Nothobranchius furzeri: one gene and its partners. The protein of the gene in region 4 purifies or fractionates together with the protein of the main gene of each other region. This does not show direct contact. Links are inferred from orthologs where the notes say so. Each region holds a gene or a part of one and is shown on either strand. Other genes may lie near its edges.

The links.
Region 1: the proteins of polr3b (region 4) and uxt purify together in Homo sapiens (affinity purification with mass spectrometry; 3 studies listed by BioGRID and IntAct, counting the BioPlex papers as one, with this or other methods). This does not show direct contact. The link is inferred for Nothobranchius furzeri from reciprocal best matches to the Homo sapiens genes POLR3B and UXT.
Region 2: the proteins of polr3b (region 4) and polr3c fractionate together in Homo sapiens (co-fractionation; 4 studies listed by BioGRID and IntAct, with this or other methods). This does not show direct contact. The link is inferred for Nothobranchius furzeri from reciprocal best matches to the Homo sapiens genes POLR3B and POLR3C.
Region 3: the proteins of polr3b (region 4) and polr3d purify together in Homo sapiens (affinity purification with mass spectrometry; 8 studies listed by BioGRID and IntAct, counting the BioPlex papers as one, with this or other methods). This does not show direct contact. The link is inferred for Nothobranchius furzeri from reciprocal best matches to the Homo sapiens genes POLR3B and POLR3D.
Region 5: the proteins of polr3b (region 4) and polr1c purify together in Homo sapiens (affinity purification with mass spectrometry; 7 studies listed by BioGRID and IntAct, counting the BioPlex papers as one, with this or other methods). This does not show direct contact. The link is inferred for Nothobranchius furzeri from reciprocal best matches to the Homo sapiens genes POLR3B and POLR1C.
Region 6: the proteins of polr3b (region 4) and polr2f purify together in Homo sapiens (affinity purification with mass spectrometry; 5 studies listed by BioGRID and IntAct, with this or other methods). This does not show direct contact. The link is inferred for Nothobranchius furzeri from reciprocal best matches to the Homo sapiens genes POLR3B and POLR2F.
Region 7: the proteins of polr3b (region 4) and polr3h purify together in Homo sapiens (affinity purification with mass spectrometry; 8 studies listed by BioGRID and IntAct, with this or other methods). This does not show direct contact. The link is inferred for Nothobranchius furzeri from reciprocal best matches to the Homo sapiens genes POLR3B and POLR3H.

The regions. Positions count from the first base shown.
Region 1 is NC_091755.1:47,134,876-47,139,096, forward strand, and holds uxt (protein UXT), read left to right. Parts: upstream 1-1,255; 5' UTR 1,256-1,433; coding exon 1,434-1,519; intron 1,520-1,822; exon of another isoform or gene 1,823-1,845; intron 1,846-2,159; coding exon 2,160-2,241; intron 2,242-2,677; coding exon 2,678-2,745; intron 2,746-2,883; coding exon 2,884-2,991; intron 2,992-3,154; coding exon 3,155-3,218; intron 3,219-3,483; coding exon 3,484-3,546; 3' UTR 3,547-3,715; downstream 3,716-4,221. Other genes in the region: cdk20 (cyclin-dependent kinase 20), read right to left, coding at 1-106, 198-272. UniProt on the Homo sapiens protein: Involved in gene transcription regulation. Acts in concert with the corepressor URI1 to regulate androgen receptor AR-mediated transcription. Together with URI1, associates with chromatin to the NKX3-1 promoter region.
Region 2 is NC_091745.1:77,810,959-77,815,294, reverse strand, and holds the start of polr3c (DNA-directed RNA polymerase III subunit RPC3), read left to right. Parts: upstream 1-1,439; 5' UTR 1,440-1,567; intron 1,568-2,956; coding exon 2,957-3,103; intron 3,104-3,277; coding exon 3,278-3,542; intron 3,543-3,652; coding exon 3,653-3,945; intron 3,946-4,042; coding exon 4,043-4,147; intron 4,148-4,336. Other genes in the region: rnf115a (E3 ubiquitin-protein ligase RNF115), read right to left, coding at 636-713. UniProt on the Homo sapiens protein: DNA-dependent RNA polymerase catalyzes the transcription of DNA into RNA using the four ribonucleoside triphosphates as substrates.
Region 3 is NC_091757.1:39,754,646-39,758,840, forward strand, and holds the start of polr3d (DNA-directed RNA polymerase III subunit RPC4), read left to right. Parts: upstream 1-1,230; 5' UTR 1,231-1,386; intron 1,387-2,360; 5' UTR 2,361-2,366; coding exon 2,367-2,525; intron 2,526-4,025; coding exon 4,026-4,069; intron 4,070-4,160; coding exon 4,161-4,195. UniProt on the Homo sapiens protein: DNA-dependent RNA polymerase catalyzes the transcription of DNA into RNA using the four ribonucleoside triphosphates as substrates.
Region 4 is NC_091744.1:73,552,040-73,555,735, forward strand, and holds part of polr3b (DNA-directed RNA polymerase III subunit RPC2), read right to left. Parts: coding exon 3,580-3,696; intron 2,467-3,579; coding exon 2,313-2,466; intron 2,226-2,312; coding exon 2,151-2,225; intron 1,933-2,150; coding exon 1,834-1,932; intron 1,741-1,833; coding exon 1,613-1,740; intron 521-1,612; coding exon 311-520; intron 247-310; coding exon 88-246; intron 1-87. UniProt on the Homo sapiens protein: Catalytic core component of RNA polymerase III (Pol III), a DNA-dependent RNA polymerase which synthesizes small non-coding RNAs using the four ribonucleoside triphosphates as substrates.
Region 5 is NC_091752.1:59,331,539-59,335,234, forward strand, and holds part of polr1c (DNA-directed RNA polymerases I and III subunit RPAC1), read left to right. Parts: intron 1-2,160; coding exon 2,161-2,268; intron 2,269-3,696. UniProt on the Homo sapiens protein: DNA-dependent RNA polymerase catalyzes the transcription of DNA into RNA using the four ribonucleoside triphosphates as substrates.
Region 6 is NC_091752.1:66,413,972-66,417,844, reverse strand, and holds polr2f (DNA-directed RNA polymerases I, II, and III subunit RPABC2), read left to right. Parts: upstream 1-1,224; 5' UTR 1,225-1,360; coding exon 1,361-1,380; intron 1,381-1,636; coding exon 1,637-1,706; intron 1,707-1,794; coding exon 1,795-1,925; intron 1,926-2,723; coding exon 2,724-2,795; intron 2,796-2,889; coding exon 2,890-2,980; 3' UTR 2,981-3,249; downstream 3,250-3,873. UniProt on the Homo sapiens protein: DNA-dependent RNA polymerase catalyzes the transcription of DNA into RNA using the four ribonucleoside triphosphates as substrates.
Region 7 is NC_091752.1:65,981,176-65,984,871, forward strand, and holds part of polr3h (DNA-directed RNA polymerase III subunit RPC8), read left to right. Parts: intron 1-2,243; coding exon 2,244-2,307; intron 2,308-2,417; coding exon 2,418-2,652; intron 2,653-3,696.

The DNA of each region.
Region 1 (4,221 bases), on a different chromosome or scaffold from region 4:
TGTCCTCAATCTCCTGCAGGGCCTTGATCTCCCTCAGAGCCTGGTTCGGGATGCCGTCTTCCAGCCTCCTCAGAGCCACTTTCTTCAGAGCCACCGTCTCTCCTGTCTGAGAGAAAAGGCACAAGACGAACATTCTGAGGAGGAACTGCTCTGCACCTGGAACCAGACCCAGAGGCTGGATCTTTTGCTATCGGTACCTCAATGTGTTTGGCCTTGAACACAATGCCGTGAGCTCCTTCTCCGATCCGACCCTGGATGCTGTACTGCTCCATGTCTGGGACAAGAACCTGATCCGGTCTGCTGATTTCTGCAGGAAGACCAATTTTTCATCTGATTCCACATTAAAACTTCAAGCTGTAACATTAAACTAAATAAGATATAGGTGACCTCTTTTTGAGAAAGAAAACACCTCCCAGAGCTTCTTTTACCTCCTCCAGCTGACCGACAGGAGCCAGAATTCAGACCGGAAACAAAGCTCCGTGTACAAAAGACGCCGTTTACGATTTTGCGCGTTTCAGTTCAATAAAACACCAACGTTTCTGAAATATTACGGAACGATAACTGAAATAAAGGTCGTAAGTTTTATTCGGGTTCTGAGATTATACATAAATCAGCTCGATTTCAATTGGATCCGAATTTTACAGAGGATGCTAACTCGTGTTGCCATGGTAACGTCACCACTAAGCTAAGTTAGCTCCTATGGCTTAATGAAACCGTCGAAATAATTTCAATTCGAGCAGAAATGTTTCCTGATAGTCGTTCAAGCCTGAAAGCGCGGCGAGGAGATCCGGTTTTCGGGCCTGAAACGTTTGAAAACGTTTTGTTTCAGACAAGAGCTGCGTTAGCTACGGTCACGTGACAACGGAAGTCACGACACAGATCCAAATCAGCTAGAAAAGACTCACATGTCAGTCAGAAGTGAAAATTAAATAAATAAATTATATATATATATATATATATATATATATAAATATATATGTATGGGGTTATGACATGAATGTGTATATAGGTTTTATGGGTTTTACAAATGTGTAATTTGGATGTGTTTTTAGAATTTAGAGATTTTAGTGCCGGCTGCTTCACAATGCTGTCTCGAATTGCCCCTCGGGGACTAATAAAGTTGTCTTGAGTCTTGATATATATATATATATATATATATATATATATATATATATATATATATAATCAGTCTGGAGCGTCTTCGTCTAATGCATCTATCTGTTTTATGTCTACATGCTTTATTTTGAAAATTTGGGGGCACTCAATGATTTAGTTCCGGTGTAAAGAATTATTTACATGCTAGCTTGGCATGCTAGCTGTGCTAACGGCACGTTTTTGTGTCCGAAACGGTTAATTTACATTGAGCAGAAATTCATCTGAACTGAATTAATCCGCATGAAGTTATTATTGTTGTTATTAATCTGAAAAGCTGCATGGAGGAACCTGTCGCTGAAAACGTGGACCGGAAGGTTCTGCAGTACGAAACGTTCATCAACGAGGTTCTGAAGAGAGATTTACGGTACGATTTAACTCGTATAGTTGATTTAGTTTCTCAGCTCTGCTCCTCTGTTTGGTTTTGAATTCTGAGTAGTTTCACAGATCCTGGTTTAGTTAGGGCAGGGTTGGTAGCTCTAGCTTGAAGCAGGTAAATAAAAGTTGGTGCTGGGTTCTGATGAATCTAAGCAGTTTCCGGTTAAGTTTTGATGCGATGTTTATGTCTCTACAGACACGATCATTATAGTACAGGTTAAGTTCTTTAAACGTAAATCATAAAGTTGTATTAAACACATTTGTGACAATCACTATGACCAGTGACTGGTACCTGGTTACCATGGCAGCCCCCCAGAGGGCGGGGTCTATCCGGCTAGAGAAGTTGACGCTTCATCTGAGCGACCAGAACAAAAGTCAAACTGCGGTGGTGAGTCCACAGAGTCGGATGATGTTCTGGTCTGTGGAATCAGAACCAACCAAAAAGATCCAGTGAAGGAGAACCAGAGAGTGGGTCCTGGAGAACCACGGATCCCTGGTGTGGTTCTTATCCAATAGAACAGTCAGAAAATGATTGCAAACTCATTTCAAATACTCTATTTTGACACCTCACACACACACACACACACACACACACACACACACACTGATGAAGGTGTTCTGTTTGACAGGAAGGTGTTGGAGCAGAGAGACCAGGTTTATGAGAAGATCTCCCAGTACCTGCAGCTGAAGAACACGATCCAGAGTCTGCAGGTAGTGTGTGTGTGTGTGTGTGTGTGTGTGTGTGCGTGCGTGCGTGTGTGTGTGTGTGTGTATGTGTGTGTGTGTGTGTGAGAGAGAGAGAGAGAGAGAGATTTTAAGGAGGGAGGCATCACTCTGGGAGGATCATAGGGCCTCCTCTAGGATTTTTTTCAGTTGTTTGAAATATTTTCAGCTAACATCCGCCATGTTTTAATCTCTGGAAACCTTTTAACTGCTGATGAAAATCCAGCGGAGCTGTGTGTTCTGGATCAGGAGTTCTGTTCAGGCCCGATCCAACAACAGACCAGTAACCTGAGCTCTTTAGGCCTCGTGCTGTCAATCAGAAACGCCTGTTTGTTTGTGATAGAATTTTGTGTGTGTGTATATATTTATATATGTTTATATCATGATGATGACGTTGCGGTTATGTCACTCCGTGTTCTTGCAGGAGGCGGAGTCCCAGCAGCTGAAGACAGACGTCGATCTGGGCTGCAGCTTCTATGTTCAGGCTCAAGTGTGAGTGTCTGTCTCTCTAGAGTGTCCAGCTCCTCCCTCCACAGACATTTAACCTCTTTTAGATGTTTGGTTCTGGTTCTGAGCAGTTTGGTTGTGTTTGGTCCCGGTTCTGACCCGTTGTTCCCCTCCTTTGGACAGAGACGACTCGTCCAGGATCTTCGTGGCGGTCGGTTTCGGGTTCTTCGTGGAAATGACCCACGATGAAGCTCTGCAGTTCATCACCAAGAAGACGAGTCAGCTGACAGTGTGAGCTCTGTGTTGCCGTGACAACACAAACTTTTTGTCACACGTCTCATTTTTGTCGAGCTGAGATCTAGTTCTAAATAAAGTTGAGGGAGTTTGAACGAGTGCTGTGTTAGCTCAATGTTCGGAACCAAAGATGCTAACCATGCTAACGCTTGTTTTGCAGCTTCACAGAGCAACTCACTAAAGACGCCGCCAAAATAAAAGCCAACATCCGCATGGTCCTTGAGGTCAGTTATTATGTCTATGATCTGAAGCTCTTTAATATTTGATTTGAGTTTTTCTGCTGAGTGTTTGATCTTCTATAAGTCAAAGCGAGTCAGAGACTCGGTAAGATCTGAAGTAGAGCCGGTCCGGTAGCGTCGAGGTGAGTTGGTGCTGATGGAGAGGGACGTTCTCCTCTAAAATCAGATGTGTTCATCGTGGAACCACGGAGAACCCTGATCCTCCAGATGAGGTGTCTGATTGGCTGCTATCTTCTTCCTCTGCCTTCAGGGTTTGCGGGAGCTGCAGGGACTCACCGACCTTCCCGAGAGCCAAAGAAGAGACGTCTTCTAGACTTTTCCTGGTTCTGGGCAGCAGGTGCTGCTGGGGCTGGACCTCCGGGGGAGGAGGAAACTCCTCTTCCTGGGAGGAGCTTTGTGGACAGCAGGACGAAGGTCTCCTCAGATGTTTGAAGAACATCACAGCAGTCATGAGTCTTTCCTGATTAAAATACTAAACTGAAGTTCATGTATTTTCATTTTTTCATTCATATTTTATTAATAATGAGGTTTTTAGTTTGGATTTGTTTTATTTATGTCAAACTTTAGTTTTTGTGTATATTTTTTATTGGATGTAGTTCTACTTTAGTTCTTTCTGGGATTTATTGTAATAAAATAATATCATATATTTTAGGCTTAAATGGGTAAAAGTTGTTGGTTGTTTATTTGCCAACATTTCATTTCCTGATGAATAAAATCATTCACACATTCTTCTTATAATAAATAATATTTTTAGACCTAAAAAGTGTTATTTGTCTTTTTGAACAAGCTGATTTAGATTTAAAGTGAACTTTTTTTGTTATTTTTAAGATCTTTTCCCGGTGTTATGGTTTATTTGTCTCTCAAAACCAAATATAAACTTTTGAAAGGAATTTGTCGGAATGTTCCTGAGGAACGCTGAGACGTTTAGCGGGTTTGTTGCGTTGGAAGAACGGGAACGTGCTCGAAGAGTCATGCGTGACCAGCACGT
Region 2 (4,336 bases), on a different chromosome or scaffold from region 4:
AAGCTGAACAAGGTTAGTGTTTACACACTTCTATAAAATTACATTAAATCTTGTTAAAACTAGTATCTTCTACCAAGTATTCATTAGGGCTAGTGTGTAGGTCACAAAGTGCACCTAGTGCTGCTTTGACTTCACAAATGAAACTAAACATTAAGTCCATGAAAAATCCCCGAACTCGTCATTCCAACAGTATATTTGACCAGAAACAAACACTGAAAACAAAACTAGTCCACTGTCTCTCAGCTGAGTTTTAAATATGTCGTCTTGGCTTTAATGGTCCAGACAATCCGTGTTCAGGTCTTGTTCGGTGGAAAATACGCTCACAACACATTCACAGTGGGAAACCTGAAGCTTCGGGCCCTGAGTTTTGACACAATTACGCGTAGACACACGAATAGAACAAAACTTGACAGTGTCAAGTTTATAACCCAGCGTTTACCTCAAGTAAAAACAAATTAGGCACCGTTTAATTCAGAGAGTTAACAGCAACAACCGTTGCTAGCTGTTAACAAGCTAGCGGCGGTTTAGCTGTAGCAGACAGGCGAAACTAACTGCTATTGGTCGAGCAGCGGTGTTGTCAGTCGCGCACGATGTGGAATATATCACACATGACTAACCAAAAACACCGGACTTACCGGGAGTTTAGGATTTACTTCTCCCTTACAACAGTGACAGAAAAACCGATGCGGGGGAACAGGCGCGGCCTCCGCCATCTTCCCCAAGCAGCACAACTAGTGACGTTGGTCCTTTACAACCAAAAGACACTTTATGGCAAGCCGGTTCATCATATAATAAGTGATAATTCTGATATTTATCATATGCATTTTCATATCCTCCAAAATGATTATAAGTTGTTTTAAAACGTTTAATAATAAAAACGTCTTTATGATAGCAGTAAATCATATGAAAATTTAAAATATTTCAGAGTTACCACGGTATTCAAGACCTTGAAATCTGCACATTGTTCTCTAGTGGGAATTCCAGTTTTGAGAAACAAATTATTATTCTAACAAAAGTTGTTCGACAGCAAAGTACGTTTAGATTTTTTAAACCGGAAACTAAATTTCTATGGGAATTTGTTTGTCCTAACATTTGGGAAAGGTATTTGAGATTCTTGAAATGTTGATTTTGAATAGGTGAAATATACCTTTTGAAATACATGGAAGGAACTGCAGATGTTTACTGATGAATACTGACTTCACCCAGTGTGATTGTGTACCTCTTACTTTTTGTCTAACTTATTAACACGTCGAGCGCTTGAAATTTCAGTTGTTTATTCTGATAACTAAAAATGCAATTCATGAACAAATTTTTTTTTATTTAAATTCCAAATGAAAAAAATGGGATGTGGTTAATTATATGCTACAACAACTTGCCTGAACCAAACGATCTCCAGCTCGACAGGGGGCGCTGCACTGCAGCCAAATCCTGGAGGGAAGACCCAGAGAGCGGAAGTGTCTTTTTTACCGGAAGTGTCTGTGTGTTGTGATGGAAGAGACGCATGTGTAAAAAGTCGATGCATGAAGGCAACAGCTACGTTTGCTCCGAAACCCATCTGCAATAAAAGGTTCGTGAAAAAAATAAGTTACGTGTATTTATTTTTCCTAATTCTTTACTTTCAGGTGAGCTAGCCGCTAGTAGCTTGTAAGCTAATCCACTTAATACAACTTTAGCTTCACTGGTGTGGACATTAATCAGAGACGCTTAAAACATAATTAACATTTAATATTAGATGAAGTTTACATGTTGTCTTTTGTTTTATGGTGCTTTAGTGTTTTTTTAACCGAAACATCACAGTTTAAAGATGCTAGTGATTGATTTGTGATGCTTTAAGTGTACTAGTGTTTTAGTGTCCTGTCAAAAAAGTAAATATAATTTATAAAATACAATAAAATGACTTTATTCTTGCAATAGGTTAATTTCTGTTAAGATGTTGATAATAAATCATACTAATTTACCTATTTAAGCCAACCACATACACAATATTCAGTACTTTCCTCACAACTTGGTACAGTCATTTTGTCATTTAATTAGTTTGTTTATTTTGATCAACTGTTGGTTCATATTACACTGATTATTTTGTTTTCAATCTGTTTCATGAAAAGCATCTTTTATAAAATGTTCTGCTAATCTGGTGCTGCTTCCGTGGGTTTTATTATCGTGATATAGGTGATGTCATCTAATTTACTGTTTTGCTTCATCTACAATAAAATACAGGAATTCTTCTACAAAACCTGTAACATAAATAAAACCAGTTTACTTCCATCCATCCATTTTCATCCGCTTATCTGGAGTCGGGTGGCTGGGGCTGTAGCCTAAGTCGAGAGGTCCAAACTTCCCTCTCCCCAGCCACTTGGGCCAGCTCCTCCGGGGGAATCCCAAGGCGTTCCCTGGCCAGGTGAGAGACATAGTCCCTCCACCGTGTCCTGGGTCTACCTTTAGGCCTCCTCCCAGTTGGACGTGCCCGGGAAACCTCACCAGGGAGGCGTCCAGGAGGCATCCTGACCAGATGCCCAAGCCACCTCAACTGGCTCCTCTCGATGTGGAGGAACAGCGGGTCTACTCCGAGCCCCTCCCGGATGACCGAGCTTCTCACCCTATCTCTAAGGGAGAGCCCAGCCACTCTTTGGAGAAAACTCATTTCGGCCGCTTGTATCCGTGATCTCGTTCTTTCGGTCACTACCCAAAGCTCATGACCATAGGTGAGGGTAGGAACGTAGATCGACCGGTAAATCGAGAACTTCGCCTTCCGACTCAGCTCTCTCTTCACCACGACAGACCGGTACAACGCCCGCATCACTGCAGACGCAGCACCAATCTGCCTATCGATCTCACGCTCCAGCTTTCCCTCACTCGTGAACAAGACCCCGAGATACTTAAATTCCTCCACTTGGGGCAGGACCTCATCCCTGACCCGTTTACTTGTGGATCTTATTTATATTGTATGTTTTTGCAGATGACAGCCCAGGAGGTACGACTGTGTGGTCTTCTGATGCGAGAGCATTTCGGGGAGGTGGTGGAGAAAGTGGGAACACACCTGCTCAGAAGTGGTGGCCAACATTTACGAGCCATTGTTCATGAAACTGGAGTCTCAGCGGACCTGGTACAAATGACAAGCTTCTTTCTGCTGGTTAATACTGAGAATATATTTGCTTAGCAGCTAATTGTTGGTGGTGATGTATTTTAGATAAGTAGAGTTGATTTATTGGACAGTTTTACACTATAAATGATTTTTAATCACACAGTACAGATGCTGCTTTTGCCTTTGTTTTTAAAGGTAAAGAAGTCTTTATGCGTGCTTATGCATCACGGAGCGTGTTCGTTCATCTCTGGTCGAAAGGGACCCGGCAGCCCCCCAGAGTATCAGGCAAGCTGCGATTGCATTCTGAGGATTCTGCGATACCCACGTTACATCTACACCTCTAAAACCTTGTACGGTGACACCGGAGAGCTGATCGTTGAGGAGCTGCTTCAGAGGGGTCACATGACGATGAGCGGCACGGTCAAGACAGTCGCTGACCGCCTCAGTCAGAACATGGAGGGTCAGCGTCTGATTTTAAAAAGACAAAAATCTGGATTTGATTTTGAATGTTTTTCAGGTTTCAGTAGGATTTATATTACGTGACATCAAGTGTCTATGTTGTTCTTACAGATGGGCAGAGCGTTGATTACAGCGAAGTGTCGTCTGTCTTTTCTAAACTGGTGGAGACGCATTTCCTGCAGCGCTGCCCTCCGTTGGACGGAGCAGGAATGACAGCCAGCAGCACTCAAGCCGGCCCCAATCCCACTGCAGCCGCCTCCAGCTCCACCCTGCCCAACCCAGAGAGCTTCTCCGAGTGCTATAAGGTGCCTCATGTGACCCTCGTCGGGCGGGGAAAGCGCCAGCTCGCCACCGAGGAGGGAGAAGAGCAAAGGAGCGCAAAAAGAGCCAAAATGGAGCCAGAAGTCGGGAACAACTCTCTTTTTTCACCTATTTATTCATTCCAACATTTCTCTGTTTCTGCTTTTATCATCATCACACACGGTTGGTGTTTTTGTGCAGACTCATGGTGACGAGGGGATCTACTGGCAGGTGAACTTTACGCGGTTTCATCAGCACTTCAGAGACCAGGTGATCATCAGTGCCGTGGCCAGTAAACTGGATCAGGTCAGGCTTCCTCTTCAGGACTAAAAATACGAGTGAATAAAAAAAAAAAAAGAGTTGAACGTGCCTACAAAACGCTTATTCATTCTCCTGGATGACTAAAATGTTTTATGTTGTTTCTGTGTGTTTAGAGAGAACTGTCAGTCATCAAAACTGGATAAAAAAAATCAATAATCAACAGTAAACGGGCTC
Region 3 (4,195 bases), on a different chromosome or scaffold from region 4:
AGGATTATTTCCTGTTTCACCAGGACTTCATGCAGGAGAGCTGAAAAGCATTTCAGACACAAAGTGCTTTGATTAGCTTATCACAAATAAAGTACTTTGATTAATCAATGAAAAGCGTTCTTCTTCTCTTCTTCTGTCTCTTCTCCTGGAATGTAAACATACTGAACCAAGCGTCCGACCTTGGTGATGTTACTGTGTGAAGGGGCAGCTGTTAAGGCAGACCATTATAAGATTCATAACGGTACAACCTATATAAGTCTCTAGACACCCATTTTTCTCAACAAAAAAACTGCTAAAAATATATTCAGCCTTGATTGTACACAGCAAGATTTATTATTTACAGTGATATAATTAATAATGCTCGATAACGATCAATACTAGATGTCATTTTATTGTGTTCAATGTTATATTACGTTTATTTATTACAATTATTAATAGCTTTTGTTTCATTTTTGTTCTCTGATGATTTATTTGGAAATGACTGATTTTTGGTTTGTGTTCTCAAAGCTACATAAACAAATTATATCTTGTAAAACCTCCCATAATTCAGTCAGATTCAAAACATTTCATTTCAAGGTATTTAGTAGATGAAGAGTTTTTTTTTCTTGTATGGTGCCTTCAAAAAGGTGCTTCACATTAATAATCTCACAGTAATTTATGTTACATTAACAGACTAAATAACAATGCTTCAACCTGCCCAGCATCAACAACAATCTATACATTTTTACTGATTGATATATATAATTATCATTATGTGGAAAAACAATGTGTTTATCACCAAAAATAGCCTTTTTATATTCCTTCGTAATAGTACTGATAGAGAAGAGAGCCTTAAGTGATTCCCACAGACCCCCTTAAATGAGGCTGCTAACTAACATGCTACATTCACCTTCGTGAGGTTCATTGGGTTGTGAGGAGTCACCTGCTGACATATCACCAGCTGCTGATTCTATAAGGACAAGGACAGCAACCCATTTACCATAATTAGATGAAACATAGTTCCTCTCATTGTGGATATCAAAGCTAGCTAACAGGTTGAATTTAACCAATCACTAACTAAACCCACCTTCCTTTGAGAATAACTGTGCGACATACTGACGCTCTCTCTTCTGCCTGTCCTTTCTCCTTTCATTCTTTCCTTTACTGTGACCCAGACGCGTTGCCCCGCCCGCGTTGCAGCCTGCGGCCATGCGCCTCATTCTGCGCATGCGCGTTCCGAACGGAACAACAACGCAGAGGTGTCATGGCGTCGTGCAGCACAGTGGCTCAGAAACAGAAACACAACTAGCTGGCTCAGAAACAGAAACACAACTAGCTAAGGTTCATTTATTATGACTCGCAGACCGTGAATAAACATAGAATAAAGACCCCGGAAGAAGAAATCAGGTAAGGATCTGGAAAAAGCTTAAATATCACTTTTTCTTCTCTAATGATGAAGGTTAGCGAACTAGTGCTGTATCATTATGTCCACGTGCTGGCGGTTTGTTCATTTCTAGCTGGAATTAAGTATTTTTTTCGTAGTGGGACGGTAGATTAAGAGAAACGAAAACCAGTTTAACCGTAGGAAAGTTTTCAGTGGTAACCAGTAGTCTGACTGCAAGTGAAGAAAGTTAAGTCATTTGGAGACCCAGCTGAAATGACTTCACTGCACTAGTTAACTCCTTCATTAGTAGTGTCCAAATATTTAGCTAAACAGGCCTAAAACGACAAGTTGAAAGTACTTGTGTGCCACTTTTATAAATGCAAACAATTTTTGTTCCCAGCTAAACAATAAAGTTAAATCAATCCTTCACTATTCGTTAGCATGTCTTCATATCACATCAGCTTCCAATGATGGGGTGCTGAAAGACAAAAGCCACAGGCCATGGCTAAAAAAACATCTATATAAGCAACGTGATTAAAACAGCGTCAATAAGATCAACAGTAAAACCAACAGAGGAATGTAAACAGATGCATTTAATTAGCATAATCCCCATTGTAATCCAGAAAAGAGAGAACTGGTTTTCAGTCTGAACCCAATGTTTAATATTATAATATAAAGTACACAATATTTTAGGGCTGCACATAGTAATTAGATATTTTTACGATAAGGATGTGTAGATCTCAGATGCAAAGCATCAACAGTCCAGTGTGGATGTAGATGTGCATCCAGATGTAATACCTGCATTCATATGTTGCTTTTAAATGCTACAAAATCCATCAGAATGTCGTTAGAAATAGGTGCCAATGCAGACAAAAATATCTGTGATTTTTAGATATTTTCTACAAAAAGAGTCTTTGTTGTGTCCACGATGACTACAGATACCAGTAGAAATAATTCCAAGTGAAAAAGGTTGATTTGTATCTCCTACTTTATTTAGTTCAAAATGGCTGACTCAAGTGACACCAGTAATCAGCGAATGGCGACTCCTGGAGGCAGCAGTAACGTTGGACTGCTGATGGGCCGCCGACCACCATCGGGAATCTCTCCAGGTCGCCTCCCTTCCATGAGGTCAAGAGACCTCACACTGGGGGGAGTAAAAAAGGTACTGCACCAGGTCTTTTATTAAAGTATAGTTATTTGTAGTGGTTTATAGTAGGAAGTCGAAAGTCAGGGGGAAACAATACACTGGTGCACCATTACCAGGAACTGAAGTTACCCACATCACAGCTGCGCTTCAGACAGCAGGTTTTGGAGTCTTAGTTCCTGATACTTGGACATTTATCCTCAGATTGGATAACAGTGATTCCTGGGGTTGTGCTCCTGCAGTCATTGGTGTATAAAATGAGCAGAAGTGGAGAGATGACTGAACCTTGTGGGGAACCAGTGGAGAGTGACCTGACAGTACTGTGATGGCCGTTAACCCTGACCCTCTGCTCCCTCCTCGTGAGAAAGGAGAGGACCCAGAGGATGAGATGGGAGTTAACATTCAGGTTCAGCAGTTTACATCCCATAAGATGTGGCTGGACTGTGTTGAATGCACTAGAGAAATCCACAAAGACCAGGTTGATATGTGACTTTGGCTGTTCCAGGTGGGTGAGGGTCTCATGCAGCATAGTTAGTAGAGCATCATCCACCCCTCTGTGTGGTTGGTATGCAAACTGCATTGGGTCCAAACATGCACCCACATCAACCAGCAGCTGGGCCATTACGAGCCTCTCAAAGGTCTTCACAATCAGTGATGTCAGAGCTACAGGTCCAAAGTCGCTGTTGATGCCTGGGTTGTTCTGCTTTGCCACGGGGCAGATGATAGAGGACTTCCAGATGGAGGGGATGGAGTGCTCAGCTAGCGAGCAGTTAAACAGGAAGCAGAGAACTCCCGCCAGCTGACTGCAGATGACCAGAGATCCTGCCTGGTCCTGAGGCCTTGTTGGGGTTGATCCTCTTTAGCGTGCTCTCCATGTCCACAGGCAGGAGCTGCAGGTTCTCAACGGCTTGGGACATAGGGGCTAGCTCCATGAATGTGAAGCGACAGTGTGACGTAGATCTGTCAGGCTTTTCACACCCTAGAGTTTTACTGTCTATTTTCTATCGTGTAGAAGACTTTTTCATGATCAGCCTGCATGAAAAATTCAGTGACCCATAATAATCAGAAATAATGATGCTCTTTAAAATTCTTTATTTCTAATATAATGTGAACAAAGAAAGCTTACCTGATACTCGTAGGACGATTAATACGCTGTGGATCAGTTATGATCCCAACACTGGCTTAGTGTTTACTCAAGCTGTTTACCAAAAGGGAGCTGCTTCCATCTTTGACATTTGCTCACACACCGGGTTGTTTACTCTATGGGTTTGAACTGTTTATTAAAAACAAACAACTTGCATCAAGGGGAAAATGTTCATTCAATTTAGTATTTATGTCTTTTATTTATTTATTTATATCACTGAGATTAATCTATACGAAAATGACAAGACAAAAAACCAATCATTTGTTAAAAACTCGTGGCTTCTAGGGACAAGTGATGACTAAAGATGCAACAGAAGCTGATTTTATTGTACACTGTCTAAAACCTAACACGTTTTTGTTTTCTTCCACTTTTAGAAAACGTTCACACCCAATATTATCGGCAGAAAGGTTAAAGAAGAGTAAGTCCAGAGACAAACAAAAGCACCAAATACGTCTTGACCTCCTTTATGTGTTTCACTGATTGCTGGTCTGATCTGTGGCTCACAACAGACCCAAAGTAGAAGGAGGCCAGAGGCGAGAGCGGA
Region 4 (3,696 bases):
AACCTGCAACCTTCCAATTACTGGACAGCCCGCTCAACCTGTTGAGCTGGTGCTGTCACCTAAACATCCGTTGTGGCTGTTACTCACCAGGGGAGCAGATACCGTCAGCATCCAGGATGTTGTGTCTCCATACGGGCTTACGCGTGGCAGCGTCCAGCATGGGTCCCATCACTTTATCAAAGGTCTGGTTGGTGTAGCGACGCAGGGTGCACTTAGCGTTTTTGTAGACAAGGCACCGACCAAACCCTGAAAAGAGGCAAGTTGAGCCTTCTGCTGTGGTTGGGGTTAAATAACGCAGAAAGGCTCTCACCTCTGTCCAGCGAGGCCTTGTTGAGGACCAGAGCGTCCTCAATGTCGTAGCCGCTGTAGCTCATGACGGCCACGGTGGCGTTCTGACCTGCAGGCAGTTTCTCAAAGTCAATCAGCTCGATGGTTTTTGTTTTAACCATGGGCCTCTGAGGATAAACCAGCAGGTACATCAGAGTGTCGATGCGGTTCCTCTGGTTGTAGCCGATAGTTCCTAAAAACAAACAAACAAAAAAACAAAAAGTGGATGAGGAATAAATCATTAAAACAGCCTGAAACATTATCAATAAGTAATTTCCAGTTTGGCCATTTAATCTAATTTCAAAGGGGCTCTGGGGAAGACCCAGGAGAGTTATGACATAAAGCCTGGCCTCCCTGGAAGCCCTGACATTTGTCAGATGCTATTACCTCACAATCAGGCTACAAGCTCAGTGGCTGATAATAGGCTCAGGCCACACAACCAGATTTGCACATGTAAAGAGCTGCCCACACAAAACAGACAGGACAGAGGATATTAGTCCAAATATAGTTCCAGTCAGTGTTTTTGTAAAGGTGGGGGGAGGGCAGGAGCGGATGGATGGAGGTGAAGCAGCAGCCAATCTGTGTGTGTGTGTGTGTGTGTGTGTGTGTGTGTGTGTGTGTGTGTGTGTGTGTGTGTGTGTGTGTGTGTGCGTGCGCGTGTAGCTCTTACGAATGCTAGCCGGGCTGTTTGGGGAAGTTTTGGTTACCAGGGAGCTTGGGGTGCACACTCTGTGGGCTTTCTGCAGCTGAGCACACTGACCCCCCGAGCACAGCCAGAGCAGACACAATGAATTGCTAATGACACTCTGGGTGACTGGCAGGGAAAGGGCCTCCGCACACACGGCACAAAGGAAAACCTACGCAAGCGCCCCATGTTTGATGTCCATGCACACACACACACACACACACACACACACACACACACACACACACACACACACACACACACACACACACACACACACACACACACACACACACACACACACACACACACACACACACTCAATCACACATCCAAATGTATTCTGACAAGAAGTGGTGCAGCCGCAGAGCTTGTTCATGAAGAACCAGCAGGGCTGCTTGTATCCACCCTGTTTGTTATTCTAATGTCCTTTTTAACTCATGCAAATAAAAAGTTTAAACTCTGCAGATTTAGGAGGCTTGAAAACGGTGTTCATGTAAGATTAGAATACTGCAAGTGTGTGTGTGTGTGTTTGGGCGTACAAAGGGAGCGGCTCAGCTGTGTGTACGATGTGAAACTACCTGCTCAGATCAGGCTTACCCATGGCCTGCTTGCCCATAGCGCACTGGTACGTGTTCCTGGGGGACTGGTTGTGGTGGGGGTAGGGAATGAGGCCCGCACACACTCCGAGCAGCGTGAAGGGCTCGATCTCCAAGTGGGTCGTGTCTCTACAAAAAGGGCGTTTAAAAAGCAGCATGCCAGGATTGAGACAAACAAGGAGGGACGCGCTTCAAAATGTCCGCTTTCACGTTTCTACTCACTTGTTGATCATATGTTCATACAGAGCAATTTGGCAGTCGTTCTCCTCGTTCACATCCAGGTACTCCACCAGGCCTTCATGAAGGAAGTCCTCAAAGGTTCTGGAGACAAGTTAAAGAAAAAAATCATTACAATGATCAAAGAAATGATCAAAACAGGCTGTTTAAGGATAAAAATGGACTAAAATCTAATTTATGCATCTAGAGAGATTAGAAGGGGTTATGTCTGGTCTTATAATAGATCTGTTTTTTAATTAGGCCCGGTGTTGCCTAACTAAATTAAATGCTGACGTTTACCAAGAAGCTACCTCAACTCTCACCTGTAGCCTTGAGACAGATCTTCAATGTGTTTATTATTCACCATCGTCTGGCCCTTCTTCACGATGATGTACGGCCTGCAGGAGAAACGAAAAGTCATTTGAAGCCTTTAACGCAAAATAAAACAAGATTTATAGATATTTGTTTCTTCCAGCCTTGCCCACCTGCAGAGTCTACCTCCGTCAGATGAGATGTAGACGCAGCGGTCGGTCAGGTTGGTGGAGATGGACACAAACTCGTTGATGAAACCCGCCCGGCGCATGAGTCTGAAAGTGTTGACCAGCTTGTAATGGTCTCTGATCACACCCAGAATGTTTCCTGTGGACACAAACATGAGAGAGCGGTCAAAGTATAAAAGAAAAGCCGTGGTCTTCAGAAAGCCTGGAGACCTCACGGTCAGGACGACAGGGACATTTGGCTTCTCGATTCGAGCGAGATGACTTCAGGAGGAGCAGGAGCATCGAGCTGCACGTAAAACGACGGCAAACTGCACAGAGATTGAAACACTTCGCGACTAAATTTCAAAAAGAAAATTTGGCTTAACTGTTGCTTACACACCTCTCATGACCTGGCGGCCATATTTGAAACTTCTTGCAAAACCCAATTCCAGCACAAATCCTGCATGAATTCTTGCAAACTAGTCAGCAACAGTCTCCGCCCAGTGAGACACTGGATTCAGGAGTTTCCATCAGTAATACAGATGTTTTACAACAAACAGTAATGTGTGCAGTAGAGCTCGATTCAACTGTTTGATCACAGATGTGCTTGAACTCAAGGCTGCTGCTCTCTTCCGGTAGTTCAAACAGAGCACAGGCGGCTCAGAGCTTTAACAGTGTCTTTAACGTTTCGGCAAACGACATTTCTGAGTAAGCATTTCTGTCTCCTTTCACGTATAGTAATAATGTGCGTAAAGATTCAGAAAATTTAAAGCCTTTCACTCAAAAAAAGCACAAAATTCTGACTCCAAACTTGAAGCGTGAGCCGTGGTTTTGCACCCTGAGCCCTGCTGCGAGAGTGGAGTTTAAACCTCCTGCAGGAGGCTTGTTCATATCGGGTGGAGAACAGAGGTCTACCTCAGTGTGCACGTTGCCTCTGAACGCACCCTGAAGGGCTCCGGCACCTGCTGCTAATGACTAATTAAAGAGCATGGCAACTAATATAATGTGACAGTTATCAGTGCAAAGACAAACAAATACTGTAATTAAATGTCCGAGTTTTGACTAGAGAATAACACCTACTGCTGCTATGAAATTAAAAACTTATCAGCTCCTCTGCTAAATTAAACAGAGTATTTTCTTCTTCATGTTTATGAAGCAAAACGTGTTTAAAACGAGAAGAATTAGCATTTCTTTTAAAAAATGATCTGAAGCAACAGCAGGAGGTCTTAATTCTGCTTAATAATTCAGCTCCATTGGAGGGCGGGAGTTGTACCGTTGAGGAAAACCAGGAAGACGCTTGGATAGGAGAGCTCCTCCCCACACAGCAGGTTGACGTCTTCCACCCCAAGGTTGAAGGCCAGTTTTATAATGGGGCCGTCCTCCATGTCTG
Region 5 (3,696 bases), on a different chromosome or scaffold from region 4:
TTAACCCTGTCTGTTTAGCTTGACGTCTGATATATATATATATATATATATATATATATATATATATATATATATATATATATATATATATATATATATATATAGCCATGCCGTGATGTGTGTGTGTGTGTGTGTGTGTGTGTGGGGGGGGGGGGGGCGTCGACATGGTCGGCACATAGAAGGGGGTGCGCGGCTAAATAAGTTTGGGAACCACTGTCCTACAGGATTCTTCATGCCTAAAACTTGCAGCCCGGATTAGTTGCTAAATCAAAGAATGATTTCCTAAATTAAATATGAACTTCTAAAACTTATAAGCTAGATAATCATTAAATAAACGTTTGTTTATTGCTACTTATAACAATTATAATGTAATGAAATGTTTTCATTAATCTGTGCTCAATGATTGAAGTTTGAAATGAACGTTATGTTATGATTACAGTGATTGAAATATGTTTCAGCATGTTTTATATGACAAGGTCATCACCACTTGCACTCACACCAGAACAAAGTAAGGTTAAGTTAAACTCATGAGTCATAAATAGCCCTTTACTCCAGATCAGAGCGTCCGGTATCAAAGAAGACATGTTTCTGAGACTCTTGGTAATATTCCTCAAACTTGTCAACCTCTGGTTGGCTACACAAATCATAACAGGAGAACATTAAAACCAGATTACTCTGGTTATTCCTCAGTTCTAGAGAAAGCTTCAGACCGGCCATCTGAAGCAAGACCCTCTTTAACCCATCAAAGCTTTTGACACGTCGTCAAAACCTTTTTGCACCTGCAAAGCTGATGAAGCAAACAGTTCCTGCAGAATGAGCTGATATTGTTTAGACTCCTTAAAGAGTCCCAGACGCGTGGTTCCATCCATCTGTTGTGACCCGAGACATCTCTGGACTGAAGAGTCGGTGCCACGGTATTCTACAGCCCTTCGGTGCCAGAGGTCATCCGACCTCTCTGACCTTCGGATCCACCAAGAGGGTCTCCAGAATGGGTGAAGTAGACACAGATAGCAACTGATGTGCTTTTGATAATAATCAGCTTCATAGCTTAACGCAAACCAAATTATTTTACATCCAGAAGTCAGCTCTCCTAGACAGAGAAGGTCTGATAACGTCGCATTCACACCCAGGTTTCATCCATCACAGTAAAATGTTAGTTAACTTGTCATGTTTTAATTGTTTGTAAAATAAATTCTTACTTTTATAAACCTGACTCTTTTCTGAATCAAAACGAAGTGTGTACAATCCCTTAATAGATAAAGAATCCTAGAATCTTCTGATGAATACACAAAGACCAAGCAGGATTGATATTCTATATTTAGATAGAGTATTACAGCTTATTGGTCATAAGTAGAGATAAAATAAATATTGAGCTCTTAAAGCACTCAATTTACCAAACCCTACAATGGCGTCGTATAGCTGAGGGTTTCAAAGAGAAATGCATGGTGCCTACAGTGAAACACAGTGGTGGCTGTGTCCTTATGTAGGCTGCATGAGTGCTGCTGGTGTTGGGGAGCTGCATTTCATTGATGCTATCATGAACTCAACAATTTACCACTCAATACCAAATGAGAAGATGCTGCCATCACTCCACGCACGTGGTCATCGTGCACTTTTCCAACACGGCAATGATCCAAAACACACATCTAAAGCTACTGTTGCGTTCCTGAAGAACAGCAGGGTGAAGGTGATTGAATGGCCAAGTATGTCTCCTGATCTGAACCCAATCCAACACCGGTGGGGAATTCTGAAGCAGCAAGTTGGGCATCACTCTCCATCCAGCATCCAGGCTCTAAAAGAGGTTCTTCTTGAAGAATTGAAAGGATAGATGTTGCAATAAGTAGTCAACTTGTTAATTCCATACCTAGAAGGCTTGGTGCTGTCCTTGAAAATCACAGTGGTCATACAAAATACTAGATGTAGTAGGTTTTGTTGTGGGGTGTATTCATTTTTGCTTCAACCAATGTTAGTAAAACTGAAGATTTTGTGATCTCAGTTATATTGTTAACCTTAATTTCATGTTATGGAGTTAAACAAGCCTTGTGAAATTTCTGGAAATTGTTCTTTTGTTCATTGAGCTGCTGACTAAATTTATACATTTTCAAGGTGTATTCATTTATGCTGAGCTCTGTACACGTGTTTCCTCTTTTGCTTTTGCAGAACTTCAGAATTGACATAGTGCATCTGGACGAAAGCAGTATGGAGTTTGACATGGTAGGGATTGATGCGTCCATTGCCAACGCCTTCAGAAGAATCTTACTAGCAGAGGTAACACCCACACATTTCCTGCAGTTTAGCTCAAAAAGCGTTACTTCCAGTCCGGTCCCTCTGTGTTTCTCGGGCTGTGTTAGCTCTTCCCCCCTCCCCCGGTGTTACGTCAGCATTCCAGTCGGTTCCGCTGTTGAAACGCGTTTCCCCACCACTGCACCACGTTTACCAAGCGGTAAAAACACTCGCGCTCATTACAATCTCGCTCCCGCGGGGCGCTCTGGTTTTGGTAGAATAGGAGCCACAGATCTAAGTTAGGGAAATTCCCGGTGGCCCTTTTTGAGTTTGGTGCATTATTATTTTTATATTTTTTTTCATTTATTTTATTATTTTTTTTTCGGGCCGTTGTTACTCTGTAGATCACCTGCTGCTGATGAGAGGATTTCTCCTGTCAGGAACAGGTGAGCTGCTGCTAACCGTAACCCAACAAGCTTCTGTTCCTAGAAACACGTTCTATGCCCAGACTCTAATGACCTGTTTTTTTACAACTTTATAATTAATATTAAGTGAATGCATTAAATCCACAGGTGGAAAATACGATTAAATAAGCCTGAATATTTTCTCCCACAGCTCAGCTCTATTAGAAATAAGCAGATGTCTGCTTCAGCTGGACAATATCAAGTATAAAAACGTTCACAGATAACTGATCTATAATGACGAAACAATGTTAATCATTTTAAATTTTAATATTGATTTCATTTCATTTCTAAGGTTTGGATGTTTGTGGACATCACTGAATTTTCTGATTGGTGTAAAGAATACACAATATTTTTAATAACAGGTCTGGATGTGGTTCAGTCTGAGGTCTAAAACTGCCCTGGGCCTAAAGCCCTGCAGATAGATTTAGTTTCTATAAACATAAACGACAAATAAACAACAGCAGCTGGATTCTACTTTGTTCCTTACATTGAGTCACATAGTTTTGCAACTTCTGTATGCTCACGTGTTCAACAGCAGCTCTGCCAGCTGATTGGTTCTTTAGTAACTAGTGACATCAGTGCAGTTCTGGTACTGAGCAGCATGGATGCATAAGAGGATTTAGCTGTAGTCGGTGTTCAAAATGGATTAAAGACAGGATAGGATATAAACGCAATCAAATATAATATTATAATGCTGTAAACATGTGTAGATACTTTATCATACATCCTCACCAGCCTGTAACTCTACCTTTTTTCTCAAAATGCACCAGACTGATGCTTTTAAAAATAAAATGCTCAAAATTTTCTACCAGGGGTGGTGGTGGTGAGGGGGGGGGGGGGGGTGGCATGCCCCCGGACCCCCCTAGAGTAGTTTAATACTCATCATCTTTTTCGTGTCCACACTCTGGTGCTGGTGCACACCTTGTGGTGGAATAAGAACTGGATATATATATATATGGTGTCCCACAAGGTTCTGTGCTGGGGCCTCTGCTCTTCCTCCTCTATCTGC
Region 6 (3,873 bases), on a different chromosome or scaffold from region 4:
CTCTTAAATTTTTCTTTCTATCTTACCTTCTGCACCAAATACCGCAGCAATTTCCTAATGTTGTGACTTGGCACACATATGGCAATAAAACCTTCTGATTCTGATTCTAAAAAGCTGGTCCTTTGTATGTATGTATTTATTTATTTATTTATTTATTTATTTATTTATTTCACTTTGGTGGAAACCGGCCCTGTTAAATGAGGGAAATTGCAGTGTACCACAGTGACCATCAGGTGGCAGCCTTGTGGTGTGTCACCTTTTAAAATAGGCGCGTCATGAATGTTTGGGTGACGTTCTGACAGACACGTTAGCTCTACGTGAGATGATTTATGTTGTTTGTGCAGATAATAAGCTTAAGACCACGTTCGTTAGCCATGACATACAACCAAATAGAGGGCCAAAAGTACATAAAAAATTTATATCATTAATTGAATGTGTCATTAGTTGGTTGAAATATGAAATAATTATGTATATATGATTTTAATGAATGTGCTATAAATAAAAACATTTATTTGATGTAAAAATTACAGATAATCATTAAACTGTACAATTTTAGTAATTATTACATGGCGGAGCTGGCAGTGAAGTCGAAATGGTCCTCTCTCCAGGATCTCAGTCAGGTCCACCGGTAGAACCCCATGGAAATCCCTGGCCAGTAGACATGATGATTCCTCCAACATGTCCTGGATCGAGCTGGGGGCCTCCTACAGGCAAGACATGCCTGGAACACTTCTCCTGGGAAGCGACCGGAAGAATTCTCATTAATTCATCGCTGGATTCAGCCCCAGTCTTCTCTAGTCAATAAACAGGCCTTGGATTTGGAGGAGTCGGTGTGCATTTTAGGATTTAAAACAAAATAATTAAAAATTTTCATCCATGGCCCATTTAACAATTTATGTATGTAATGATTTATTCGTGAAATAATTTGGCATTAATTTGATTAATTGCACATATAAATAATATTTTTTTACGTGTCAAATTCCTTAAATCTTTAGCACTTGATTATAACAATTCATTAAAGAAAGTGAGGAGAGAGAGAGAATGGGGATTATTCAGCCTTTATTTAACCTACAGTTGGTAGAATTTACAGATCAAACTAAATGGAAAATGACTTAACTCCAGAAGGTGGCAGTGTTGCAACGGTAAACCTTGTTGATGCTTCTGAAACATCAAAAAAAAAAAAAAAAAAAAAAAAAGACAGACCGGAAAGGGAACTCTAACGAGGTTCTTTTGGCCGACCGGAATGTTTAGTAGCGTACCAGCCAGTGCAACGTTCATGTGGATTCGTGTTGGTTACAAAAGTGTAGCCTAGAAACGTTAAAATATTTTACACGGATATATACTACTCTAAAAATTTATCATGTCGGACAACGAAGACAAGTAAGTAAAGAAATCGTTTAAATAATCTGCGTCATTTTGTATAATCGACGTAAGCTAACGGGGATGCTAACTCGATTAGCATCACACGGTATTGTTTATTATGATCCTTGCCTATTCTGTGTATTGCTGCTTACGTCCTGTTTTATTCAGTCTCCCATCCAAGTTTACGTACTTTTGTACTTTTTCAATAAAGCTTGTTAAAAGTTATGAATCACCTAAAGTTTAAGATATCTGATCAAAGGTTTTAACTCCGTAGCTTCGATGATGGAGATTTTGATTATGCAGAGGAGGACGAAGGACTAGACGACCTGGAGAACGTCGAAGATGTGAGTTATTACAGAGACGGATCACCACTTGAGACTTTTATGAAGCTGTCTCCTGGTCTGAGCTTGTTTGTTTTGCTCTGGTGAATAGGAGGATCAGGAGAATGTGCAGATCCTACCTGCAGGAGAAGGCCAGCAGGCCAACCAGAAGAGGATCACCACACCGTATATGACGAAATACGAGCGGGCCAGAGTGCTAGGGACCAGAGCCTTGCAGATAGCGTGAGTGTGTTTACATGAGATCACGGTTAAAGCTGAGTGTGTTTGATCTTTAACTCGTTAAACACATTTTCACTGAGAGTAGGTTTCCTCCCTAAACTTAGTATTTAGAGATGTTCAGTGAAATTAGCTGGGCTCATTTCGGGATTTATGTCAGTAAAAGTTTCGTTTTTCCAAAAGACATTTAACCCTCCCATTGTCCTGATGGGTGTGACCCCGCGAGGAAAGTTGACCATTGAGCAGGGATGATGGTTTATCCCTTGGGTCCATGTGGCAGGGGTGAGAAGTGAGCACCACCTCACCCCTGCCATGTAGACATCAAGGGATAAACCATCCATCCTGCTCAGTGGTCAACTTTCCTGGCGGGGTCACCCATGAAGACAGTGGGAGGGTTAAGTAAAAACTTAAATATGCTAAATAGCGCATTAACACCTAGTATCAACAGAAGGTTATTTAGGTAAATCAGTAAAATCAACTCCTGATTCTGTTTTTGTCTTGAGTTTGGGCTCTCTGAATTCCCACCAGCAGAAATTCCTGGAAACAGGCGGCTGCTTGTGTAAATGCCTCATCTGCTTTCAAAATAAAAGCATGCCAAAGCCCATTTTAAAGCTAAAAGTAGCGTTTGAATCTACATGCAGAATTATTTGTATTTAATTTCCAATGCTGGCTGGATGGCTGCAACTAATGAGTCACTTTTTTCCCAGCTTTAGAGAAATTAGCCCACTATAAACCCCATATTCCCATGTTGCATCAGTCTGCCTGAATAAAAGTGTTTTTCCTGTGCTGGCTTGATTCCAACAGGATGTGTGCTCCTGTCATGGTGGAGCTGGAGGGAGAGACTGACCCTCTGCAGATCGCTATGAAAGAACTTAAGTAAGTCACTTTGACAAGCACCAACTTTTGGCTTTGGTTTTATTTAACGAACAACTTTTTACTTCACTCATCTTTTCTTCTCTTTCTCCAAAAGGGGCAGAAAGATCCCCATCATCATCCGCAGGTACCTTCCTGATGGGAGTTACGAGGACTGGGGCTGTGATGAGCTCATCATAACTGATTAAACATCCTAACCAGCATCACACATCATCATCTCTGGACTTTTAGAGACTCACTAACTTTTACAGAGTTGTACGTTTGCCTGCTGGGATCCGTTTATGAATATGTTGTTTTAATTTCTTTTCACCATTTTAACATCTACTTGAGGAGGAGAGACGAGAACCTTTAGTTAAATACTTTTTATGCATCCGTGAGGAGTCTAAACGGCTTGTTTTGTTTTTCGGAAGAGACGGTGTAAATGAATGTTTTATTGTTAATAAAGTCATTTCTAGAAGCTGCTGTGATGGATTTATGTACAAATCTCTGGTTTAAAACAGAAATGTGTTGCTGCGGTTGTTTCATTTAGAAAATTAAATGTCACCCCTTCTTTCCACAGGAGCCGTCAGCAGCGCGTCATAGCTGCTGATAGGAACCGCTGTGGTCAACAGAACCTTTTCCACCGGAGCCGTCAGCAGCGCGAGTCGGCCGCTTCTCAGGAGCAGCATGTCGCGGCCTTTACGCGCCGGTTCTATTTTCTACACGCGACGCCTCTGAAACGGGTCAAGTTCGACATTTTTGGGGAAGGAAAGACAGGAAATCGGACGCGGAAATGGAGAGAAGCTCCCGAGATTTTCAGAATAAAGAACGTACTGCCTTCCGGTTGCTTTACTTTTAAAAAAAGTTACTAACTGTGCGGCCCCGTGAGAAGTTATCACCTAGCTAGCGGTCTCCTTTGTTTTTCAGGTCCGTATTGGCGATTCTAAAATGGACAGAACATAAAACACAAACCTTTTGGAGCCATGTTGTAATTTTCTCCTGCTTGTTGTGTTTACTGACGAAGTCACTCGTGTGACTTCGTGCTCGGTCGGTGACAGCTGCTCCCCTGCTGCTTCGCATCTTGTGGGAAGGGCCAAACAGC
Region 7 (3,696 bases), on a different chromosome or scaffold from region 4:
AGTGAAGCTGGAGGAGAAGCGGGGTGATGTGGGTGTGTTTGGAGGACTTGGTCAGAAGCCGAGCACAGGCATTCTGAACCACCTGTAGACGGTTCAGGGAGGTTCTGCTCAGACACGTGAAAAGAGAGTTACAGTAGTCTAAGCGTGAGGAGATGAAGGTGTGGAGAACTGTCTCAAGTTCAGAGCGGGACAGAATGGGACTCAGCTTAGCAATGTTCCTGAGATGGACGAAGAAAGAGCGAACAAGAGAACTGACATGAGAATCCAGGGTGAGAGCCGCTGCTCCTTCAGCAGCAACTATTTCTTGCATGTGAGGGGTGGATCCAGTCCTCCAGACAAACTCCTCCCTGCTTCCTTCTTTTTCACCTCACAAGTAACTTTTTAACTAGCAGATCAAATTGATCTATTGACCACAAAAAAAGCGGAGTGAGCGCCGCGCTGCACGGCTGCGCCAGTGACGAGCGCTGCGGCGCGAGCGCGTCCACACATCATGCTCAAATACAGACAGAACTTACCAGAGAGAAAATGAACGGACACAAACGACTGTGTGTTAATTATATATTTTTTGGTGAGGCCCTTTAGAAACTTAGAAAATGTTACTGTGGCCGTGTGCAGAACACACCTGGAGTCCATAAATAATCAGCGGTCTGCCTGCCGCTCTGCATCTCTGCCCCAAAAGAATCCCCGCTACTCTGAGTCCATGTAAATAATATAATATAGGTACAAACTGGATCTCTTTTGTGCTCCTTCTGGGTGTGTGAGTTAAGGGCATCAGGTGAGCCTGACAACCATTAAGGAGAACCAAGTTGCTCTCCTGTAATTTGAAGCCAGTATCCAACTCCGGATCGGGGCTTGGATCGGGAAGTAAAGCCCGAGTCCTGATCAGTCTGAAACCACGTGATCGGGGCCGATTTCCGATCATGTGATCGGATCGGGACATCCCTAGTAGAGACCCACATGGCAGCAAAAAAAAAAAAAAAAAGATGCAAAATGTGAGTTTTGCAAAATATTCCACCTTTAATATTGTGATACTTTAACATAGATGTGTGTGTTTAATATGAACACATTTGCAGGAATATAAAAAAGAAAATTATGGAAGCACTTGAAAAATAGCCATGATGGAATTTCTACACCTAGATGATTTTATCATTTATCATACAAATTAAAAAAATATATATATATATAGTGTATATATATATATATATATATATATATATATATATATATATATATATACATATATATATATATATATATATATACACACATTAAAGGATGTAAGAAAATATCGATATGGCAATATATCGTGATATTGTATTGATATTCAAAAGATGTATATCGAAAATATCGATATGGTAATATTTTGTGATATTTTATCCTGTGATTTTATATTAATATTCAAAATCCATGTATCAAATTTTTGGAAGAATTTACATGCAAATATTTGTGTATTTTCTTTTCTTTTGGTGCAATTTAAACGCAGACCGCTAGTTGGCAGCAGTGTGCAATGTGTTTTGTTTCCACCACTGAAATATAAATCCCTCTGTTATGGTTCAGATACCTCGCATTAAAAATGTTAAGTATCAGTTTGGACTAGGGCTGGGCAATAAATCGAAAATTTATCATTATCAAAATTTCTGACTCTTATCGTGATCATTTTTCCCGTGTCAATAAATTCGATAATAAAGAAATGAAAAGATGTGTAGGTTGGTAACGTTCACATCCCTTTAAGAAGCTGTACCACCTTGAGTCACGTAAAAATGTGACTCAAGTAATACGTGTGACAGCCCCATCTAGTGGACAACTTTTGTTTCTGCGCATACCTGTAGTTATCGCCAATTTATCGTTATCGAGGTGAAATTCTCAATATATTGTGACACTGATTTTAGGTCGCATCGCCCAGCCCTAGTTTGGACTGTTTATTCAATATTCCTACAAAAAATTCTGTCTAAAAAAATTGCTGATATCGTATTGTATGGCAATGTATCGTGATATGTTGTATTGTCTCCCCTATATCGTGATACTTGTCGTATTGCCAAAATTTCACCAATACACATCCCTTATATATATGGAATTTTAGTCATTGCTGCAATTATATGTTATTTTACTGTTATCCTCTGCTTTCCAGGTACGCTGTTTCTTTCATGTCTGATGCAAGAATGACAAAATATCCTTTAACAGTAAACGCTTTAACAGCTGTGTACCAGATTTCAACAGGAGCTTCTCACTCTGCTGCTTCACAGTGACCATGGGCTTCTTTGATGATATTCTCATCCCTCCTGAGTCTCTCCAGCAGCCTGCAAAGTTGTATCCAGAGTTAGAAGCACAGTGGTTTTGTTTTTACTGCATTTGCTGAGTGTGTGACTGGAGTCTTATGGATCTGGGGTTGGTTGAGCCTTCCTTAGCCGTAACTCCAGTGATGAAGCGGAGCAGGTCTGGGTCTGGGAGTACGAGACGGATGAGGGAGGGCACGACCTCTACATGGACCAAGGGGAGGAGATCCGCTTCCGGGTGGCGGATCAAGTCTTCGTGGACACGTCACCAACAGGCCCTGCTGTAGCTGCGTCTGACGCGCCGGCACAAGCGGGGCAGGCAACGGCGCCGCCAGCAGAGGCCAGCGAGGGGAAGAAGGAGGCACCGTACACTCTGATTGTAAGAATCATACAGACAAATTAAAAATCAGCTCTCGTAAAGATGATTAAACTGTGGGAGCAGTCACCATTTCAGGGTATTTGTAAACTCTTTCTGGTGCTCAGTTCATGTTTTCAGTATTTTGACTGAATTAGATTTTGATATTTTATTTGTCTTTTAAGTAAATGGGAGCTTTAACTCATTCGCTGCCAGCGTTTCTCACCGTTTTTACAGTTTTTTTTAAGCCACAGAACGTTGCGCGCTAGGATGACGTTGACGCCAAAACAACCAAAACAAAGCGGAGACTCACCTCTTACATCAGGAAGAATCCGCGCGTTTCGAGCGTTATCCGTTCTTTCATTATCTGTTGTTGAATTGTGATCGGCAGAAGCTTTTCCGGTTCGCGCCTCACTTTTTTTTTTACAGCAGCGGCCCAAAACGATCTAACACATGGATGTTCTGCTTCCTGATCACGTGACGTGTGACGTATACGGATGAAGATCCGCTTTAGAGCTGAGGTGTTTGTTCTCACGGTGTGGGGGCTCGTCCGATGCCCACACAGTAAAAACATGCAAATGACGAATTTACTCGTCATTGGCAGTGAATAGGTTAAACATCTGGTTATGAGAAACCCTAGCCTGGGAAGCCATCCTCTATAGGTGAATATATAGTCTGGACACGGCCCGTTGACGGCTCTCAGTAGTGGGCCTGGGTCTACGGTTTTCTTCCAGACTGTCTCTGCATGCTATTGGATATCAAACAACATGACGCACTCGCCGCTACCGATGTAAGTCAACGGGGCTTTCTGCCATACTCGTCCAGGGTATCCGCAGGTCTTAAATTAGCTTTTCCAAATTTAAGGCCTTAAAAATTACAAATAATACTTAAATACATTTTCCAGAGGTCTTAAATTTTCAAAGACCCAATAAACAAGATTCTTTTATTTCTATAAAATTTTCATGAATTTCTAGTTAGCGTTCAGCATTTTTTGTGTACGATGTTGGTGTAAGCGGAACCGTACACATTCAGTTGGATGTGAAAGGGGGCTATTTTTAGATGAGCACA